Neurospora crassa OR74A: one gene and its partner. Each later gene encodes a partner of the first gene's protein in a complex. Links are inferred from orthologs where the notes say so. Each region holds a gene or a part of one and is shown in the gene's direction. Other genes may lie near its edges.

The links. Proteins that work in one complex are often made in the same cells at the same time.
Region 2: NCU03778 (region 1) and NCU01614 share a complex: the UniProt entries of both Saccharomyces cerevisiae proteins name them as parts of the sm core complex. The link is inferred for Neurospora crassa OR74A from reciprocal best matches to the Saccharomyces cerevisiae genes SMD2 and SMX3.

What each region holds. Positions count from the first base shown.
Region 1 is NC_026505.1:2,382,543-2,386,051, forward strand, and holds NCU03778 (small nuclear ribonucleoprotein Sm D2), read left to right. Parts: upstream 1-1,390; 5' UTR 1,391-1,602; coding exon 1,603-1,628; intron 1,629-1,727; coding exon 1,728-1,760; intron 1,761-1,908; coding exon 1,909-1,960; intron 1,961-2,037; coding exon 2,038-2,243; intron 2,244-2,328; coding exon 2,329-2,371; 3' UTR 2,372-2,860; downstream 2,861-3,509. Other genes in the region: NCU03777 (mitochondrial 3-hydroxyisobutyryl-CoA hydrolase), read right to left, coding at 1-441, 516-638; dak-1 (dihydroxyacetone kinase 1), read right to left, coding at 2,944-3,509. UniProt on the Saccharomyces cerevisiae protein: Plays a role in pre-mRNA splicing as a core component of the spliceosomal U1, U2, U4 and U5 small nuclear ribonucleoproteins (snRNPs), the building blocks of the spliceosome.
Region 2 is NC_026502.1:2,951,729-2,955,284, forward strand, and holds NCU01614 (hypothetical protein), read left to right. Parts: upstream 1-1,243; 5' UTR 1,244-1,554; coding exon 1,555-1,662; intron 1,663-1,864; coding exon 1,865-1,956; intron 1,957-2,066; coding exon 2,067-2,139; 3' UTR 2,140-2,923; downstream 2,924-3,556. Other genes in the region: NCU01615 (hypothetical protein), read left to right, coding at 1-818; pp-2 (protein arginine N-methyltransferase HSL7), read right to left, coding at 3,089-3,271, 3,378-3,556. UniProt on the Saccharomyces cerevisiae protein: Plays a role in pre-mRNA splicing as a core component of the spliceosomal U1, U2, U4 and U5 small nuclear ribonucleoproteins (snRNPs), the building blocks of the spliceosome.

The sequences.
Region 1 (3,509 bases):
CTCGGTCGCAATTCTGAAGGGGGCGTGGATGCTGAGACCAACACCACCTCCCATGGTAATGCCGTCGAGGAAAGCCACGTAAGGCCTGGTGTAGGTGGAAATCAGGTGGTTGAGCTTGTATTCGAGGCCGAAATAGTCGACGGATTTCTTGACGCCCTCGGGGCCCTCGGCGTTCTGCTTGGCCAGCGCGGCAACATCACCACCGGCGCAGAAGGCCTTCTCTCCGGAGCCCTTGATGACGATGACGTTGGCCATATCGGAGCGTTCCCATTCGAGGAGACGGGGCGCGATCTTGCGGATCATGGAGCCATTGAGGGCGTTGTACTTGGCTGGGCGGTTGAGCTCGACGGAGCGGAGATTATATAGACTGTTGAAGAGGACATCCTCGGGCTCGTCACCCTCGACGGGCTTGAACAACTCGGCGGCGGCTTGGGTCGAGATCTGGGAGGAGGGGGCGGCGAGCGTGTTAGCTGTGTCCGTGTCCATGGCTTTTGTCTTCCCAAGGAGCGTCTTACTGGGGCCTGCTGGCCCAGGACTTTGGCTCTGAGCGGCATCGCGGTGAAGCTTGGTCGGCAGCTGCGAGAAGCAACAGCAGAAGCCAAGCCGGCGCGGCTGGCAATGGACTTGGAGACCAACATCGATGTACACTTCGGTAATTGGCTGGCTGGCTGGCTTTGTCTAGAATAGGAATGGAATAACAAGACCCAGGGTCAATATGGAAGAAAAATACTAAGTCCAAAATCCACCCCGAGGCTGTTTAGCACCGTTGTTGCATCATAGACCGGCCAAGGGACTCGGGCACTTTTTTTCGGGACTCGTTTTCCTGGGCTGGGAAAGGGAAAACGGGAGAACAATCACCAATGATCTGAATGCCGCGTGGATGCAGGAACCGTGATAAGTGATAGCGAGAGTATCTGCAAATCCACTTTTTGCTGGAATTCAACGCGAAATGGAGCTCCAGCTTCAATTGATTTTCAAGGGCACCGCGCCTGGCAATCCCCGGGGCGGGGTTAGGTACGGGGGAGCTAATACATAGTGTAGAGGTAGCTGTGGAACCTGCCGAATCCCCGCCGCTATCGCTAGAAGCTGGAATATCCTCCGGCCGATGATACCTCTATCCATTCAAACTTGTCATTTTCCAGAAGCGACGCTCGGGCCCTCCGCTCACTGGAAACCCGATGTCCCGGCTGTCCGGGGGAGCATGTCGGGTTCGGCGGGGCTGGCAGCACCTGTCACCGGAGCGGTCCTCAGCCTTTCGCATTGGGATCCACCGTGAGCTTGTCATCCAATCGCCAAACTTTGAAGACGGTTCTGTTCCCAGAAAAGCTTGGCGCGTGTGCTGTAGCTGCTCCACGCTCCGAGTCGCCGCCGCGCCTGGCCCTCCGCTGCTGCAACATTTCCCGTCGTGGATTGAAGATAGCGATAGCATCCATTACAGCAACTATTGTCCAGGCTTCTACCGTACACCACCAACCCATACCACGCGAAGCAACCACTCGACGTCAACAACCATTTTTGATACAAAGACAAAACTACAACTCATTTGCCCCTCCTACATTTCAGTACCACTCCAATTCAACTCTAGACCAAAACACCATCGTCATGGCTTCAGCGGATGCAAAGATTCAGTCAGTAGCTATCCCACTCTCCAGCATCAACCCATGTGCGCGGGCAGCCCATGGACGCTTCAAGGAAACCAACTTGACTAACAACTGTCTACTATACAGGGAGCTTCTCACGAAGCCGCGCAATGAGCTTACGTACGTTATATCCTCTTGTCAACATCACCTCCCTCTGTTACCATCGTCATCTCGCCCGCCCTGCTGCTCCCAGCTCCTCCTCTTTGCGACCCAAGACCACGACGCCCGCCCAGCCAAATCACAAAGCTAACCAACTCGTCTGATACAGTGAATACGAAGTTTCTCTCCTCGAAGAGCACGAGTTCTCCGCCGGTCCTCTGGTACATATGCCCCATAAGCCTTGATCTACCACCCCTTCGACACGGAGCAGCGACTAATATGACACCCTTTTTGGCAGTCCATCCTCCAGACCGCCGTCCGCAGCCACTCCCAAGTCCTCATTTCCGTCCGCAATGGGCGCAAGATCCTTGCGCGCGTCAAGGCTTTCGATCGCCACATGAACATGGTGCTGGAGAACGTCAAGGAGATGTGGACCGAGACGCCCCGACTGGCCAATGGCAAGAAGGGCAAGCCCGTAAACAAGGACAGGTTTATCAGCAAGATGTTTGTGCACTTCCTTTTCATCTGTTGTTTCTCTCGCCCAGGAGAAGCGAAGATCAATGGCTGACATGTTTCACTTTCCTGGCAGGTTCCTGAGAGGCGACTCCGTCATCCTTGTCCTCCTCAGCTAGTTCACGAATAGCACGGCAAAATGTATAGGTTGGAGGTTTATTTCACTTGCACGGCGAAGACACGCGCCAGCACAACTTAGGGTTAATGGCTCGAATGGAGTGGGGATGAGCCCGGGAAGGGTACCTATTGTTGGTCGACTGAATCGAGAGACATGCGGACTATATCACCTTACTACTACTCAACCGCTCGATCGACCATGATGACGACACAACCACGAAAGCAATTCAAAACGCCCCGTGAAAAGGCGCCGCGCAGGAACGAGAGGAAAGAAGAGAAACCCAAGCAGATTTTCAGGGGCTATTAGGAAGGTCATACAAAGGGAAAACTAGTGTGAGCTCGGCGTTCAAACGTGTATTTGGTTTTGTTTAACTTTTTATCTTTCATTTCTGGTAACTTGATCGAACAGAATACCCAGACCGTGTTTAGGTTTTCGCAGACGCGGTCATGTTTTCTCGTGCTTTTTAACGACAAGCAACGGGATGATTTGTATTGGTGTTCCTGGTACGTCATTGAAATGGTGGTGCAAACTAACTACCTAGGGGTATATCGAGATCACATACAGCACCAATTCTTACGGCAATTCCGCCTCTCTTGTAACCTCCTCCCATCCATCATCCGATCCCTTGGCCTGCTTAGCACTGGAATCATCAGCCTTTTCAATTCCAGCCAGTCCAAGGAAGAACTTGGCCAATCCCCAAGCGCCCGGATCCGGCACCTGCTCGAATCCGGACCCGCCAATGTAGACGGTGCGGCCCAACTTGGCCTTCATACCCTTGGTGCCCTCAGCTCCCTGCTTGGCAGCCTCGGCCGCCTTCTTCACATCACCGGTCTTTTCGAGCGCATCGACAAAGGGATAGAGGGCATCAACCAGGGTGCGGTCACCGGGACGAGCGGGCGTGTACTTGGACAGGGCCTCACAGCTCAGTTTGAGGGCTGCGGCCCAGGCATTTTCATCAGCAGCTTTCTTGTCCGACTCCCCTCCACCGACAGTGTGGAGAGAGGCGACCAGAGCGTTGAGGAAGATGCCGTAGAGAGCACCCGAGGTACCGTCCATGGTTTGCTCGACCACGGTGACGATCTTGGCGAGGTCAATGGCTGCATCGCCTGTTAGGGGGTTGGAGTCGAGATGCGACAAGA
Region 2 (3,556 bases), on another chromosome or scaffold:
GCCAGACCTTCACCGGCGACCTAGCCAAGATGACATGCGAAGCCCTGATCAGCCTGGCATCGCGCCGGGGGCATCGGCCCAAGACCATGGCGCGCCAAGCGCGCGAGGCTAAGGCGCGGGAACAGAAGCATAAAGAAGCCGAAGACGCGTGGGACGGCAGCGTGCCGGATATGGCGGATCCGATTTCTGCTGAGGAGCAGGCTAGGCTTGATATCTTGGAGGCGATTGTAGAAGGGTGGTCGTCTGGTACTTCCAAAACGGGTGAAGAGGATGTAAGGATCCGTGCCTCTGCGTTGTCAATTCTGGCGAATTGCATCGAGACGAATATTGTTGGTGTCGCGGCGGTGTTGACGATGGCGAGCGTGGATCTGTGCATTAATGTTGTGCAGGTAGAGCGGCAGCTGGAGAAGGGGATACTCAGGAGGGCGGCGGTGAGGCTGATTATGAGCTTTATCAAGGCCATGGACGAGGCGAAGCACGAGGGGAGGGTGTTGGGGATTGCGTTTGGGAGTGAGACGCAGGAGCAGCTGAGGACGATTTTGGGGTATGTGGAGCAGACGGACGAGGATGGGTTGGTCAGGGAGTATTGTCGGGATGTGCTGGAGAGCTTGGAGAATTGGAAGACGAATAGCTTGGTGGATGAAGTGTCGTTGAGCCAGGCAAGAGGAGGAGGGTTCGGTGGTGGTGGGTTAACGAAGCTGGCTGGGTTGGTTGTCGACCCGGAGAGGTCGGTTTCCCATGGTGGTGATGATAGTGGTGGAAGTAGTGGCGGTGTTGAGATGTTCGGCGGTAGACCTAGGATTGAGGAGATTGAGTAAAATATCTTCACCCAGTATGGGACTTTATTAATTCAAAATGACTTCCTGTCAGGTCCTGAACAGTCCCCTTCCATTTCGTTTCAAAACATCGGCGTCTTCGAGGGTCTTGACCTGAAGGTGTAAGTGGGCATCGGAAATAATCAGGGAGAGATGTCACCAGGTAAACTTGAGTGAAGAAGTGAAAGAATACACTAAGCTATGTACCTGAGTAATGATAAGCAAAAGGATCGCCATAAAGGTCTTGGTGATGCTCATCATCGTCGCTGTCAACAACATCAAGTATCCTCTAGCCACCAACCCTAACCCTGTAATCTACTAATCAGACAGGCTTATTGCCACGTCCAATCAGCTATCGCGTTAGGGCTCCACATGTCCCTCGTAACAGAGGAACTTCCATCGTCGCGCTACTCCAACGCCGCAAAGGTCCAGCATTGGAGGCACAGTCCCAGTTGGAGCTTCTTCCATCATAGCATCAACGCCAATCCCATCTCTCTTCCCAACTTTTCATAACCATAACCTCGACCTTGTTGCGTCCACCCGACCACAACCCACTCTTACACATCTAAGAAAACCGACAAATACAAAATTCCATTAGCACCAAGCCGAATCGCGAATCCAACTTTCGAGCCGTCCCATCGACGACAACAACAACAACAACAACAGCAAGCCTGTGAATACACACACAAGGCGCCACGCACTTGACCAAGAACCAACCCTTCGAACCGAAACCGACAACATGTCTTTTGTCCCAGTTAACCCCCGTCCCTTCCTTCAAGATCTCGTCAACAGCTTTGTGACGATCCGCTTGAAGTGGGGAGAGACGGAGTATGTTGGCCGTCTTGTTGTACGTATATATATACATATCCAGCATCTTTCTTCCAATCTAGCCTTCCCTTTGCCGCTGGACTTTGGTCTTGGCATACACAGCTGTGGGAAGCGATGGGGAGGGGAGGGGAGGGGGAAACCAGCAGGCAGGACCAAGGAGCAACGAAGGAAGAACAAAGAGAGAGAGGCTGACGAAATGCGTGTGTGCATGTGAACAACAGAGCATCGATAGCTACATGAACATTCAGCTCAGCGACACAAAGGAGTACATCAACCGCAAGTTTACGGGCGCCTTGGGGCAGGTTCTGATCAGGTACGTCCATACTGAATACATCCCACTGCTACGGCTTTCCATACGGACGACCCAATCCCCCATCTCGTATCAACTAGCCGGGATGCTGACATTATGGACTTCAACAATAGGTGTAACAACGTTCTCTACATCAAGAAGGCCGACGAGGCGGAAACAAGTGGCGACGTCAAGATGGAAGAGTGAAAGTTCTCTCGCCACCAGGAGGAGGAAATGAAAGGGTAGCCTAGACTAGCGGGCAGGGTGGTGAAGGGCGCGATTTGCAGAACAGACAGGAGGAATGTGTGAGGAGGGAGGGTCGTGATGTTCCGACTATAATACCCTGGGAGGAAAAAAGAAGAAGAAGAAGAGATGGATCTACTCTACCGACCAAACCAAACCGAGCCGAACCGAAGCACAAACCACAACGCACCCGCTCGCCGAAAACTCGTTTCCCAATGATGAAAGTGTGCGCTTCACGAAAGGTGCGACAACAGCTTTGATGATATCGGGCGCGCATGGTGTGGAGAGTGGTACGGAAGGGCGGATTTGCTTCAAGAGAGAGTGAACGGTGGATGGATGGATGGATGGGTACCGAGCGTCTCTCTGTCTGGTAGAGACCTTCGTTGCATCTCCTGCGCAAGACCGTCAAAGGAGCATGTGCCATCTGGCCTTTCCTTGAAGATAAAGGCTAAAATAAGATGTTGGAACAATACTCAGCTTAACAGGAAAGAAAGAAACAAAAATCTGTCAAGACCACACATCATCTAGGTACTGAGCAAAGAAAAGGAAGTGGCGGGTTGAGTTAGACATGCGGACATGGCGTCTGGTTTCCAGGTATTATTTCAACTGAAAGAAAAAGAGAACGAGCGGCGTGAATTTCTGTTAGTCTCAACTTCCACTTGCCTATACATCACACGACTACAGGCAAAGACAGTCACCATCATCATACACATCGCGCGCCTTCCCAATTATGAACATTCTATCCACCATTTGACTTCGAATCTTTTATTCTTTCGCTAAAACAAGACTTTTGACCTTTTCCTCGCAGCGTTTGTTACAGCTGCATACTTACACACTCCTAACACCCGACCTAGCCAGCCTTGCCCACCACCTACTGGTACCTAGTTACCTCCGTTTTTACATTTCCTCTCTTCTAACCAAAAATGCAGGCAACCTTACGACTGCTATGCATCTCAGAAGCGCCAACCTTGATACGGGTCTTGGGACCCACCCAAGCATACACTTCAACCATCCACTCGTACCACACCCTGGTGTCGTCGGTCTGGCGCCACATGCTGACTTCTAGCTCGGTGTCCTGAGGGAAGTAGAGGGGTTGCTATGTATCGTCGAAGAAACAGGGTCAGTAATCGTCACCAAAGCAGGAGCGAGGAGCGAAAAGTCAAGAAAAACAAGAAATGAAGGAAGAAGAGATAAAAACTCACCCTAAGAGGGAAGAAAATCGGGAACCAGGAAATCATGTCCTTGCTCTTCCGATCAATCTGATCTGGCAAGATACTAATTTCTACTGGCGTCTTGCCCTCCTCCTGATGCTTGTACAGCACGCTCTCGAAGTAGCCCGCCAGACCATGGATCACACCTCTCGTGGGACAGACAAACGTCA